Linked DNA regions of Elephas maximus indicus. The protein of the gene in region 1 binds, or shares a complex with, the protein of each later gene. Links are inferred from orthologs where the notes say so. Each region holds a gene or a part of one and is shown on either strand. Other genes may lie near its edges.

The links. Proteins that work in one complex are often made in the same cells at the same time.
Region 2: the proteins of EDAR (region 1) and EDA are in contact, whole or in part, in a crystal structure (PDB 7X9G), measured with the Homo sapiens proteins. The link is inferred for Elephas maximus indicus from reciprocal best matches to the Homo sapiens genes EDAR and EDA. Residues at the interface, in NP_071731.1 of Homo sapiens: Glu55, Pro56, Tyr57, Leu58, Lys78, Ile86, Arg88, Arg89, His90, Asp92, Glu94, Gly95, Phe97, Val134; in NP_001390.1 of Homo sapiens: Gln256, Ser258, Ala259, Gln261, Asp265, Asp273, Arg289, Tyr310, Tyr311, Lys340, Thr341, Tyr343, Ser370.

Annotation. Positions count from the first base shown.
Region 1 is NC_064835.1:76,755,762-76,763,548, reverse strand, and holds the start of EDAR (tumor necrosis factor receptor superfamily member EDAR), read right to left. Parts: upstream 3,013-7,787; 5' UTR 2,698-3,012; intron 1-2,697. UniProt on the Homo sapiens protein: Receptor for EDA isoform A1, but not for EDA isoform A2. Mediates the activation of NF-kappa-B and JNK. May promote caspase-independent cell death.
Region 2 is NC_064846.1:100,697,156-100,704,344, reverse strand, and holds the start of EDA (ectodysplasin-A), read left to right. Parts: upstream 1-4,178; 5' UTR 4,179-4,482; coding exon 4,483-4,866; intron 4,867-7,189. UniProt on the Homo sapiens protein: Cytokine which is involved in epithelial-mesenchymal signaling during morphogenesis of ectodermal organs. Functions as a ligand activating the DEATH-domain containing receptors EDAR and EDA2R. May also play a role in cell adhesion.

The sequences.
Region 1 (7,787 bases):
TCTATGAGTCAGAAACAACTTGACAGCAACAGGTTTTAAGCGTCAATTTCCTTATTGGGGAAGACAAACATGGAAACACCTTGTCAAGCAACACAGGGCAGAGGTGAAGTAAGTGGACATCAGTTTATCTCTTCTGGTTGTATTTTATTTTATTTTTTTTGGAAAATAATAAGCAAGGATTAAACAAAAGTCTTGCCTGTAATATGCAAGTTCAAGAACCTGCCTTACTGATGGGCAGCTGAAGTCGCAGGCGGCTGCACTCTTAAAAGGCAGGGGTTGGTGTTTTGTTTCCTAATTGATGTAATGTGCTAAGTGAGCTTAATGTAAGTTAATTAATGATGCTGTTGGTGGGCGGCATTACTTAGGCAGAGCCTAAAACAGCATCAAAGGGAGAGGGCAGGCAGGTGTCCCCTGGGACACTGGAGGAAACAGAGGCCAGGAGTCAGGCGGCTGAGAGGTGTACAGACAGGGAGCTTCAGCAGGCCAGGAGGAAAGTGAGGGGAAGCCAACCAAGAGGGCACCTGACGGTTTAAACAGCGAGGCTGGCTTCCAAAAAGCCATCCTGTTTATAGCTACTGTGTTTGAACTTCAGACCTGCTTGAGTCTTTGAGGAACCTGGTGGTGCAGTGGTTAAGAGCTAAGCCACTAACCGGAAGGTTGGCAGTTTGAATCCACCAGCTGCTCCTTGGAAACCCTATGTTGCAGTTCTACTCTGTCCTATAGGGTCACTGTGAGTCGGCATCAACTCAACGTCAATCGTTTTTTCCTTTTTTGAAGCTAAGATCCTGTGCATTTCCTTGAGAATGAATTCCATTCTTTGGAAACCACAAAACTCACTCATCTGGGCCTTGAAAAAAGAGACAGGGAGCCGGGCTTTCTATCTGTGCGTCTCCATTGAGACACCAAGGGGTTTTGGCTAGAAGAAGCTCCACAGGATATTTTTTAAAATCAACAGGGCTCGGGCAGTTGCGTTAATCTCTAGGAGTCAATTTGGTTTCGCTCCCTGTGAAATAGGGTTGAGGTCTGGTCTGTCTTCACACCTCCGGCAAACACTGCCATATGGGGACACAGTGATGCTCAAAAGAGAAGGGTGAGTCCCTGACACTTCTAAGCTTTGCGAATATCTATCTTCGATAAAATGAAAACCCTGTTTACTTTTATAAACCAGGAAGTGGTTGGAGAGTGAAAATCAGGCATTTCAGGGAAATTTTATTTATTTTTTTCCTCCCTAAGACATGTCCCTCCAAGATTGCCCCCCAAATGTGCTGTCACAAATTAATATTCCCACAGCGCAGCCTGGCTCACTTAAGGATGGGGAGAGGGCAAAGAGGCCCAATTTCGGGCATATCTGAGACCCCAAATGGTTGTACCAGGACCCTCAGATGCCCCCAATCTTCTCTTCCCGAAATGAAGGGTAAACATGGGCAGTCATTACGACAAACCATAATTTCCTAACTCTGATGAGTGAGCTTCTTGGTGGACTCTGTCAAAATGTACATTGAAAGGCCCCGAGTGCCTGTGACTTTGAAATCTCAGGCACTTGAGTCAGGCGAGAATTATTCTCTCTCTTAAAGTGTTATTTTAATTGATTCCTTTTCTCCTTCGTCTTTTTTTTTTTTTTTTTTAACTTCTTTAGTATTTTGAAATAGCTATGGTTTCACTCTTAGAGTCTTAAAAAGGCAACTTCAGAACCCCAGAGCAGTGGCTAGCTGCAGAGTTGGGGAAGGAGGGAGCCTGGCTTGGTGTTTGCTCTCTTCCTCTCTCTCCGTTTTTCATTTCATTCATTTCACATCCTTGTGTCCCACCAACTGTGTCTGTATCCTCAGACTGACCAGGTCTTCTGCTCTGTGAGTTTATCACCTCACTCCTGGCCCTTTATTTTTTTAAGCTGTTCCTCTTGTTGTTAATCCAGGGTACATAGAGGCTTATCAGTAAGCAGTTCACCTGCTGTGCTTTCTGCCCAGCCTCACCCTTTCCCAGATCTCACACCTCTGCACGCTGGAGCAACGCGCAGGCTGTTGGGCAGTTACAGCCGGCTCTTTCGCACGGAGCCCAAACTACTCTGTGACCTGTTGGAGGCACTGGGAGAAACCTCTTGAATGGAAGGGAAATCCTTAATCATCAGAAATAGTTACCCAAGTTATACACACACACACACACACACACACACACACACACACACACACACACAGCCACACAGAGGCCATGAAATCGGGCCTCAGACTTGATTCAAAACCCCATCTAGAAGGGCTCTTAAGGCACTGTGGCTATTTGTGGGTTGGTTGCAGGTACAGAACCCAGAGGCAGCCCCAGCCCTTGCCTGCCTTCTCAGGCAAGCCGAACCCCAGTGCAAACCTGAGAGACAGATTTTCCATGCTCTCTGGAGACACCCGTTGTTACAGTAGCCAAAATCTTAAAGCCTGCTAAGCATACCCAAAGTTTAGCTTGCTAACCAAATGTGCAACCGATAACAAAACTGAGTTTCTGATGTTTTCCTGAAAACAAAGGCACAATCTTGGATCTTAGAACTGGTGGCGCAGACATACGGTAATTGGTGAAGCTTGTTCAAACGCAACCCAAAAATGACATGCATTTCAAAAATGCACTCAGGCTGTTTCCTAGCCTATGTCACCTCTGTCTCTCCATGCAAAAGAGCACATGAGCTTAGAAAACCAAAAGAAAAAGACTAAGGCTTACCTGGTACTCGGTGGAGGTTCAGTTTCCAGCCCAAGCAGAAGATGGATCTGTGAGGAAAACCCTACCACGATCCAGTCTGGGGGACACCAGGTTTCCCAGGTGGGTCGTCCCAGCAGATGCTCAAGGTCCCTGTAGGCTGGCAGAGCTCCCTGGGGGCCAGGCACCCCTCCACGGCTGTCAGCCCCACTTCTTTTTGTCTCCAAGGGCTTTCCGGGAACTTTTCCTTGACTACTGAGCGTCCTGTCTGCGAGCTAGGAGACTTCGTCCTTGCAGAGGGGCTTTCCCTCGCTGCAAACTCACCTGCACCACCTAGAGGCCTCTTCCGGCGCTGGAGATTCGAGAGCCTCGGCACTTCAGCCCGTTCCAGCCTGTGCCTGACTTCCTGCCCCTCAAGAGACCAATTGGAATGTGTGAAAATCATTGATTTTTTTTTTTTCTGGCGGGGGAACGGGACAGAGAGAGTCTTGCTTCTGTTAGAACAACCAAAGCCTTTGGGCAATGGGGTGTTAAAAAAGATAATTAGCATAAAAACATAATTAATCAAGACTTGTTCACGAAGGACCCACCACTGAGATGGCTACAGGCTTGGGTGCTGCTGCTGGAGTCAACTTTGAAACACGTGTGCCACAGGTTCCCCAGCACCCCCTTCACCTGGCACATCTAGGCTTTGAGTTACCAGGAAGCTTTAACTGCTCTTCTGCTCCTCTACCCTGACACCTTACCCCACCAACACTGTACCTCATGTAATTCTAGATAATCTGGAAGATGTCTGAAACACAAACATTTCGAAAGGGCATTGCATTTCAGTAGTAGTCCATTTTTTCTCCAAAACTAAACGATTGGGGAGGGGGACCCTCAACCTTGAAAAGAATGTCATTTTTCCAGCTGACCCCACTCCATCCACAAACACAAGAATGGAATGGCTCCTCTAGGACACATTGCTATGTCCCCCTTTTCCATTGGCTCTGGCACATAACATACAACATAATTCACATATGAGAAGTGAATAGTTCAAGACAGAAAAAGAGGCAAAACTGTGTGGGTCTAGGGTGAGGATGCTGACCTCGAAGACTAATTCTGCCGCCAGAGAGGGTGAGTAGAACCATATTTGCTTGACTTCCTTGACCAGTGTGAACAATTAATCTGGACAGTGTAGGTTCCCCATGTGAGAGTGTTAAGTTGAACTTTCAGACTTGGTTGTTGACACTGCCCATGCTGACCCCAAACTGAGGGTTTGTGGTAAATTAAAACGATTAAATTAGGAACCCAGGAAACAAATAGGAAGTAAGGGTACTGGGCTAATCTTTTCTATTGCATATAATTTTGACTTTTTGACATTTTCATTTTGATCAATATGTTTGAGGACGGAGATGATCTTAGGGTAACTTTTTTTTTTTTCTGTATTGGAAATTAAATGGTGACTTTAAATTTGCCAGAGATAACAGGGATGCTGCCAAAAGATAAGAAAAAGACAGTTAAAGGATTTGAATATGGATGGTGTCATATAAGCCAAAGGAATTTTCCCCTTTCTCTCTCTCTGAAAAATCTAAAACATGATGCCATTAAGAAAGGTTACAGATGGCTACACTTGAGGTTTTCATAGTCATCATATCCGAATGAAAATGAGCACACAAATTAATCCAGTAGATTAAGAGAAAGAATGAAGCAAGTGAGACTATTGTTTATCTTCATAATTTAAGGCTCCAGAGCTTTGAAGATATGTGAATTTCTGTTTTGCACATTTCGTAAAAGGCTGAGGCAGAAATAGCAAAAGGTTATCGATAGCATTTTTGAAATAAGAACATGAATCAAGACTACAAACCATTGTCGGGCCAGTGGGGTCTTTGGGGGCTGTGGAGAATCGGGTGTAATTTAGAACACATGGTAGACACACACACCCAGTAACTCACTCTGCAGTGCCCTGGCCTACGCTTTCATCTAGATTGCACAAATGCGTGACCAGGAATAGAGCAGAGGGGCCGTGGCACGCTGCGGAAGGCACCATCTGTAGCTCTTTTCAGCCACAGTTTTCCGAGGGCTTTTAGGGATTCAGTACAGAATAGGCATGGGCTGGTGCGAATGACCTCCCAGCAGATCAGACAATTGCCAAGGAGTAAACTGAGCCATATTCTGTGTCTTAGCAGCTGACTTCGTGTTGGGTGAGCAGCAAGAAAAACCTTGATACCCTCTTGTCTTAGTCATCTAGTGCTGCTGTAACAGAAATACCACAAGCGGATGGCTTTAACAGAGGGAAATTTACTCTCTCACAGTCTAGTAGGTTACAAGTCCAAATTCAGGACGTCAGCTCCAAGGGAAGGCTATTTCTCTTCGTCGGCCCTGAAGAAAGGTCCTTGTCCTCAACCTTTCTTTGGTCAGGAGCTTCTCGGGCACAGGTACCCCAGATTCAAAGGATGCGCTCTGCTCCTTGTGCTGCTTTCTTGGTGGTATGAGGTCCCTCACTCTCTGCTTTCTTCCCTTTCCTTTTATCTCTTGAGAGATAAAAGGTGATGCAAGCCCCACCCCAGAGAAACTCCCTTTACATTGGATCAGGGAGGTGATCTGAGCGAAGGTGGTGTTAAAATCCCACCCTAATCTTCTTAACATAAAATTACAATCCCAAAATTGAGGACAACCACAGAATACTGGGAATCATGGCCTAACCAAGTTGATACACACATTTTTTGGGGGACATAATTCAATCCATGACACCTCTCAATCCATCAAATTAGCCTGTCTTTTATGTTAATGTACTCATGCATCATTCATTCAGCAACTTCATACCCAGTACCTCTAAGGAAATGGGTAAATGGGTATGGGTACCTCTATGAAGGGTACAAACGGCTAAGAGCTAGGCTGCTGACCAAAAGGTTGGCAGTTTGAACCCACCCAGCGGCTCCATGGGAGAAAGACCTGGCAATCAACTTCTGTAAAGATTACAGCCAAGAAAACTCTACGGGGGAGTTCTACTCTGTCACATGGGATCGCTATGAGTTGAAATCAACTTGACGGCACCTAATAATACTAACAAGAACCAGGTACTGTTTGGGTTGCTGGAATACAATAATGAAAGGGACAGCCAAGACCTCTGGTCTCAGAAAGTTTATACTCTAGCTGGGGAGGTAGCGAATAATCAAATTATCAAGTAAACTTAAAATATACTTTCTGGTAGGACACACGGGTTATGTAGGTGGGGGTTATTACAGCCGGCTGATGACAGTTTCCTGCTACCTGATTACTATCAGGAAAAGTGGTATCAGATCACATACACCAAAATGAGGATGCTCTTTCTGGCAGCTGACCCCTGACATTTAACTGACTTCACCCTAACAACTCATCACAGCAAGTGAACTTCTGGTTACCTACAGACGAAGTTTATCTCAGAGTTCTGCAGGAAATCATGTTGTTCAAGGCATAAGAGTATTTGATGAAATGTTTTTACGCCTATGGCGGGTGCTTTCTAACAACCACTGAGTTCTTCAGATCAAACGATCTTAGCTCTGTCTGGTATGGAATTTGCAGCTGCAGACCTGTCTCGGGGCTAGTGCAGACCTGGAATTGTTTTCCGGGACAACCCTGGCCCTGCTGGTGGGTGCTCCTTCAGCCTCGTGGGCTGAGAAGAGCAGGCTCCTCAGGCCCGTCTGGGCCCGGCTCCTGTGCTTTCCCTAAAAACGTGCGATTTGATCTCACCTCTAGCTAATGGCGAATGCACAGGATCTGCCCCCTCAGAGCATGGGCGAGCTAGTTTTTAAAGCATGACCTCAAACTCCCTCCAGCTCACGCTTATCACAATACTATAGGCAGGAACAACAGGAAAATAATAACTTATGATTTAAAGTCCCTGATGCTATCAAAAGAGTGTGGATCATGAGGAGGGGCCTGGCTTACAGATACCTAAAATATCAGACTTGAGTTAGTGGCATGAAGGAAACAAACAACCACTGAGATGGTGCATGAGGGGCTGCTATGTTGGTTGAGAAGGGTCAGGACTGGTTACTCTGAAGGGAAAGATTGACTTTTAAACTGAGACCTGAGAAGAAAGAGTGAGTCTTGCATGGTAGGAGGAGAAGAGGGTTTCAGGGAGAACATAGTGATATGCAAAGGCCCTGAGGTAGAAAAGAGCCAGGAGTGTTGGTGAAACTGAAAGAAACCATGGGGCTTGAAAGTAGGGAGGTGGGCTGGAGAGTGGTCTGAGACAGGATTGGGGAGGGGCTGGAGACCTGATACCATAGTGTTCTGAGGGCCATCTAAAGAGGCTTGGATGTTACTCTAAGTATAAAAACCCAAAAAACAAAACAAAACAAAATCACAATTTAAAGATGACAGAAAATTACTTTAGAAGTAGAACAGAACTCTATCACCACCAATATATGGAAGGGGAGAGACTGAGCCTGGGAGTATTTATATTGGTTGGGCCTTTAGTCTTCTAGGAAAGCCTGGTGGCATAGTGGTTAAGTGCTACGGCTGCTAACCAAGAGGTCAGCAGTTCAAATCCACCAGGTGCTCCTTGGAAACTCTATGGGGCAGTTCTACTCTGTCCTATAGAGTTGCTACGACTCGGAATCGACCATGGCAGTGGGTTTGGTTTGTTTTTGGTTAAACTAGACCTGAGTGATGAAATAATACGTGAAACTTTGACATACTTGGGTGAACTGTCCTCTGCCAGCATCAAACGAAATGGGCCAACTCCAGGTCAAAGGCAGACTAAGCCAGGTGGGGTTACAACTGATGTTACCCCATTGGAGAATGATATTCTGCACTGATTGGTTTGCCACACCAACCCTGCTGTTAGATAAAGACATAAACGCCAGAATTTGTTTTAGCTACCTGGTTGTCCAAGATTCCTACCAGAAGCACCGTGTATTAAAATGCTGCCTGGATTTGGAATTCTCAGCTGTCGGTAATGATTCTGGTCACAAAAAATACCACGTTTAACTCTCTTCCATGGAGGGAGAAAGAGACCCAGGTGGACGGGAAAAGCTACAGGTCAGGAGCTGAGTCAAGGGCAAAGGGGCACCTTCCCCTCAGTGCCCTAGCCCTCTTTTGCACCCCCATTCCTGTGGTGACCCCCCACCTCCCTCCATTATGTAAGC
Region 2 (7,189 bases), on another chromosome or scaffold:
TAACCATTGTGTCACCAGGGCTCCTTCTACAGGGTAGGGAAGGACAAAGTATATCTATCTGATGGAAGTGGAAATTGAAAGGAGGAAGATAGATATATGGGTTAAGAGTTCAGGGGAAGGTGGTGGGAACATATAGGCCTTATCCCAAACTCTAAGGATGCAAAAAATGGGGCAGTTTTTGGCAAGGGCAAAGTAGGTAGATGCTTTTCTGTGTTTCTGCCATGTTCTTGAGTATTTGTATGTTTTTCCTCTCATCTCCTTTTGACGAAAGGCTCCTGGACAGCAGGGACTAACATTTACTATGCATTTATTATGTGCCAGACACTTTCACTTATAGCATCTCATTTAATCATAGCTAGATTAAAAAAAAATAATATTGTCATCTCCATTTTCCAGATGAGAAAACTGAGGCTCTCTGCAAGACAGGTAAAACTCACTTGTCCTAGGTCACACAGCTGGTAAGTGAATAAGCTAAGATTCAAACCAGGATCTAATCCAAAGTTTATATTCCTTCCAACTATCTGTTTAACATTAAGTGGATCAGAGAGTCAACTCTGTGATCTCTATGTCAATTATTTGTTCTGCAGATTAACCAGAGCTAAGAGGTACTGTATTTCAAAGCAGTTTCTGCCCAACTCCCTAACATATTCCACTCAATTGATGGGTATTCAGGGTCTTCAGTTTAGCTGACTTATTTTAATATTAAGCCCAAATTAGAAAGGAAAACTTGATGGGGCAGAAAGGCCAATGAGTTACTATAAACCAATTATATTTGAATTTCTGGATTACTTACTTTTCTGGATTATTCACAACCACTATGGTAGCATTAGTTTTATTTCTTTTGCATAGTGCTATACAGTTTGTATACAACAGGTGCTTCTTAAGTGATACTGACAGGTATCCTTTAGCCCAGTTCCCTTTTTGGAATTCTAGGTAGTCTAGGTTACCATAGCAGACTTCATGCCCTATTCATTTGATAAACAATACTGGTGCCTGCTACGTCATAGGTGCTCTGCTAGATACTAGTGATACCCAAATAAAAAGAACACCGTTCTTACCATCAAGGAACAGCTCAGGATTTAGTAGGGAGAGAGCCATGTGAAAAATTAAAAATACAATATAGTAGGTGATATCATTGAGCTATGCTCAAGGTACAATCTGTTTGGAGTGGGCTGTGGAGCCCAGAGGGAACATATGAGTTGATTCTTGAAGAATTTATAAGGTTTCCAAGGTGGTGATATTCCTGACAAAGAAAAAAGCTTGTGAAAAGGCACAACTGTGACAAAGCAGTCAACTAATTTAGTATCGTGGGAGCATGTGTTCCCTGTAGGATGGTGGAAGATGAGGTTGGAGAGGCAGTTTGAGACCAGATTATGAGTACCTTGTAGGTCACGCTAAGGAGTTGAGATCTTGTCTCCTGTATTACAGGGGTCAGACAAAATAAGTGAGTGACAAGGACAATATTAGAGAGAAGAGGAAGGAGATGGGGGTGGGGCGGGTGACTGTGGAATTTGATAGCCTGTGTTTGTATCAAGGGGTCAGTTCTAGCTGAATGCAGCCATAAGGGAATGTGGACACTCTGGGCTTATTTATTTGTTTCTTTAAACAGAAACAGGAAATCTGGATTTTTTTTTTAATGTGAAATGTCCTGATTTCTAATTTTTTTTAATTCAAACTTTTAGCCAACGCTGCATCAAACACAACACAACAATTTGCTGGATGTAGCCTGCGGGCTGTCATTTTAAGACCTGTGGTGTAGGTAATGGGGTACTTATGGAAGCATAGACACTAACTGTGGAAACACTTAAAAAAATGACCATGTACATTCCTCACTGGATTGCCCCAGACCAACAATTCTACTGCATATAAAAACATATGTTCTTCCTCTGGGGGCTGTTGAGTTGAGCAAAGTGAGGCACAAGGTCAAATACAACCCCCAGGGCTTCTGAGGAGGATGGTGCAACTCAGGGTCTCAGTTAAGCTGTTAAAAACCTGATAGAACATGGTAAACTGAGACCAGTATGGCCCCTGAGCATGACCACCACCACCAGAGATGGCTTCATTTGTCCCCTTTTCATTTTAGGGGAAACAGGGACAGCCTCTTTGAACTGTGTACGCAACCAAGTCAATATAGTCAGTTACAACACAAATAAAAGACAATGTTATAGCTGTTCAAAATCCTCATTTTACAATTGGAGAAACTAAGGCCCCCAAAAGCACAGTGACTTGCAAATTAGTGGCTATGCCAGATCTCCTGACTCCTAGTCTAGCATTATTTTGAATAATCCTGGGCTGTGATAATTAAGGTAAATCAGCCTGGCAATTTCCCCAGCAGCTGGAGTTCCTGGACTGGACAAGCAGGACTTGAGAGCAGCTGTTAAATGTTTTTTTGTTTTTTTTCCTGTCTGTATAATGAAACCCTGGTGGTGTAGTGGTTAAGAGCTATGGCTGCTAACCAAGAGGTTGGTAGTTTGAATCCACTAGCTGCTCCTTGGAAATCCTATGGGGCAGTTCTACTCCGTCCCATAGGGTTACTATGAGTTGGAATTGACTCTGCAGCAGTGGGTTTTTTTTTTTTTGGTGTAATGATGATATTCTTTGAAAACTTTATATTTCATGGGTTAAGGTTAATGAGAGGACACAAAGATGTTGTTGAAGCACGGAAACCATTCACAAAGTGTGTGGAAGAAAAGTTGGCTGTGGCTGAAATATTTAAGACCTATGGTCTCTGTGCTTTCTGGACTGACCTCCCACCAGATGATTTTGGTTTAGTTTTGTTGTTTTCCTTTTGTCTCTCTTCTATTTTACCGCTATTTTTCTCTCCCTCCCACCAGTCTAGGTTATAGGTCTTCCCATCCACACTCCTGGGCATTGTTGAGCCTCCTTGGTGGCATTCGTGATGGCTTTGTCATATCACTGAAACTGAGAATTACTTGCTTCTCAATTAATAACATGGGAATGGGATTGCAAGGTGACCAAGAAGCATGAATATTTCCTTTCTACGGTCATTAAAAAAAAAAAAACAAAACTTTCTTTTCCACCACGGTCATTTAGCTCTCTATAATCTCCAACTAACTGTTGTTAATTATGACTTTTGATTTAACTAATCCTTTACAATCTTCATATCAGGATCTATTGTTCTGACATCTGCCCACTTTTTTTGTTGTTGCCTTGAATCCTTTTCCGATTGGTGCAGCTGTTAAAGATGCTGCAGTTGCAGCAGAGTACATCTGGAACATTTGGCTGACTTGTTGAACTTCCCCTAGGGACTGCTCCAGGGGAAGGAGAGGAGGGGTGGAGGGGCCAGAACAGTTGCCTGCAAACAGAGATGCCAGTACTGTCTGGCCATTCTGTGGACCACCCTTGTAAAAATCAACCTCATTCTGGCTCTCAGTTTCCCAATTTGCTCATTGAAGTCACGTGTTCTCCACTGAAAACTCCTGCTGCAACTGAAGAAGAGAAACTATTCTGGTTGTGAATTCTCTTATATAGCACTTTTTACGAAGTAAAGGGATTTTATACATGTTTGCTGAATTAACATATAAGAAATCTTAGGGGACTGGTTTGACCTTCAGGGGGCAACATCACTTCAGTCCTGCCTGGCACAGGTCACCTTCTTCCTCACTTAGATTGAGCCCCCAGACTCAGTCCAGGAGGGAGGCTGCCTGAGTCACACCCCATTCCCACTCCCTTTGGCTCCCAGGCTCCCGACTCTTCTTTTCTTCTGGCACGCCAGTGGATTACAAACACAGCAGACATGGTTTCATTCCAAACCCAGAACTGTTTTAATTAGTTTAACCTCTGTTAAACGCTTTGAAGTTCGAAAGTAACAGATAAGTGCTGAATGATGTTATTAAAAACTAAAGTTAATTGCAAGCATTTCTGTTAATCCTCGTTTCTGCCTTCTTTTCTTTGCTCTCCTCTTTTTCCCCCAAGGTTCCCAAATTCTTCTCAGCCTTCCCCTCCTTCCTTCTCCCCCGTACTGGCGCTAAAGGGTTAAATAGGGGTGGAGTCCAGGGATGAACGACAGCGGCAGTAACCTACCCGTACCGGGAAAGCGGGAAGAGCTGGGTGGGGCTGCCAGACAGAGGCTAACCCACACGCCTCCAGGCCCCGCCCCGCGGTTTGAGGCGCCGGTGGAACGACAGGGGGCGGAGCACCCAGACTTGGCGGGACGGGTGGTTGGGCGTACCAGCAGCCCCTTGAGGGATGGGGCGGGGTCGGTCAGGGCCTCCTCCTTCACTCCTTCGGCGGGCAGAGCCGCCCCTCTCTCCCGCCCCTCCTCCTCTCTTTCCCACCCTTAGGAGTGGAGCTGCACATGCGGCTGCTCCTTGCTGTGTCCCGCCCAGCCACCGACGCACAGGAACGGGTCCCTGGAGCCCCCAGCCGATGGCAGGACAGTAGCCGCCTGTCAGGGGTCCTGAACGGTTGAGGCAGACGCGACGGCTCCTGGGCCTCAGAGAGTGTGTGTCTCCGGAGGCCATGGGCTACCCAGAGGTAGAGCGCAGGGAACTGCCGCGCCAGCGGGGAAGCCAGGGCTGCGGCTGTCGCGGGGCCCCTGCCCGGGCCGGCGAAGGGAACAGCAGCTGCCGGCTCTTCCTGGGTTTCTTTGGTTTTTCTCTGGCCCTCCACCTGCTGACGTTGTGCTGCTACCTAGAATTGCGCTCCGAGTTGCGGCGGGAACGGGGAACCGAGACCCGCCTTGGCGGCCCCAGCACCCCTGGCACCTCTGGCACTCTGACCAGCCCCAGTGGCCTCAACCCTGACGGTCCCATCATCCGCCACCTCGGGCAGTCGTCTCCTCAGCAGCAGCCGCTGGAACCCGGAGAAACCACACTCCCTCTCGACTCCCAGGACGGGCACCAGGTGAGTCACCTAGGAGGGGCGGCGGCAGCAGAGGCCCCCTTCCCTTGTGGATAGGGCGGGGGCCCTCCACCACAGGGCCCTGGGAGGACTCTGCCACCTCGAGCCAAGTTAGAGGGCAGGACCAGGAAGGGGGCAGGCCAATGAGGGGAGGGGTTGCCCCAGGGCAGGTTGTTCTAGGTCCCCGGCCCAGCTCACCCAGACTCTATGAATCCCTTGAATTGGCAACTCCGTCCGGTGCCTGCCTCTGCCGCCCCCGGCTACGGGCTACCTCAGGGAAAGTTGGCAACGCTCTGGCCCGGGCCGCGGAAAGGAGGTGCCCGCGCTGCCCCTCTGAAGGGTTAAGCGCGAGCAGCTTGGCCCCCTGGTCTTGGTGAGGTTCTCTGCCCACGGTGCTTGTTTTTTCGTGTCCAGGGCTGGTGGCAGCACTAGTAGACTCTCCTTTGGAGTTGGAGGTATAAACAGCTGTAATAAACGCTCCACGCCCGTTGAAACAACAGTTAACTGTATTTTCAGCGCGGGGTCATTGTGCGCTGACCAGTCGTGGGCTTGTTCACACTTACCTGCAACTTGAGACTGAAAGCCTGGTGGCGTAGTGGTTAAGTGCCACAGCTGCTAACTAGGAGGTCGGCAGTTCGAATCCACCAGGTGCTCCTTGCTGTTCTATTCTGCCCTATAGGGTCGCGATGAGTCTGAATCAACTCGACGGCAATGGGTTTTCTTTTTTTGGTTTGTCCTCAGTGCTCTAGTGAGGATTAGCGCCCCTGAGGAATCCTGGTAGAAACATGCGGTCTTGTTAAACTACTTTTGAAGAGCAATTTAAGAAAATCTATGGAAATAAAACTCACCCTTTGCATGCTATTTCTAGCTTTTTTTGGGGGGTGAAATGGGGGAGGTGGGTGTGAAGTGTCGTCACTATTTCTAGCTTGAGAACAGGAATTTATTGATGGGATAATTTCTCAGGAGTAGGGTCGCTGTGAGTCGGAATCAACTCCATGGCACACAACTACAGCCTCTCAAGAGCAGTTTATTTATATTCTATCTTTATGGTGTTTGTGCCCTGATTAGCAAACTTTGGTGTTTGTTTTTTTTTTTTTACTTTCTCTAGCTCTTTATTCAAGTAAACTTAGTATAATTAAAGTATTGTCTCAATGTCTATGTTTTGTCTTAATAGGGAAAGCATCCAAGGATCTTTTTGAGGTGGTTAAAGAATAGCGAATTTGTACCTCTTGAGGAAGAGGGCAAGTTGTGCAAATAAGTTCCTTGAGGTTGGGGAGGCAGGCCTTCTATATTTACTGCCACATTCAAAGTAATTGTCATAACTCTGTAAACATTATTTGTGCTAATTTGACCACCTAGCCAAAGTTGTACTCTATAGCCCATCCCATTGCCTTTGAACGACTCTATAGAGGCATCATATTTATAATACTGTAATGTTAAGACTGACACATTTTTTACATTGCACATTGAAAAGTTGCCCTGAGCCTTGAAATGTCTTGCTTGCACACTCCAACTTATATAACAGCTTATCAAAGAAGGGAATCAGCAAACATGCTTCTCATACTTGAAACTTTAAACAGTGTGACTAAATGATAATTAACTAGGATTTTGGCTCCTTTATCTACCCATCCCCCCTACCAATGCCCAGCAGAAATATTTAGCAGCTGAACAATGAAATTCTGTGGAAAGATGAGGGAATTCAGCTTCTTTAGTCAAATGTGGCCAAACATTTTTTGGCATTCAGAATGGAGAGACACATCTTTAAGGACTGAGGTTAACAGAACAGCTGTACTCTAGGGCTTTTGTAATGACATGGGACTATCACAGGTGTGTAATGGAGTTTCTTGCCTGCTTTTTGCATGGCATTTTAAATTGCTCTGTCAGGTTTAAACACTGATTCCTATCTTCTGTCCTTTATTCTTTCTGTTTTAATGTTTTTGAGCAGTAGAAGCAAGCACACTGGCTGTTTATATTTATTGACATCAACTGGAGTCGATGTTTTTTTAGAGTTACGTGGGGCCATATGAATCAATTTTATTTGATCCTCTAGGAGGACATGTTAGGCCCTGGGTGAGGAGTGACTTGGTCAAGGTCACCCAACCAGGGCGACAACTAGTATGGAAGTTGATCTCCTGACTTGCAGTTCAGTGTTCATCCCCCTATGGCATACTATCTCCTGGGGACTCTTTTCGAAGGGGGAGTGGAGGTACATAGTAGATTTTTTACAAAGTAGAGGGCTCAGATCTGCACCATTTTCTTCTACTCTACCTACGTTTTGACCAGACTAAATTTAACCATGTATTTCTTATTCTTCCTTCACTTTCAG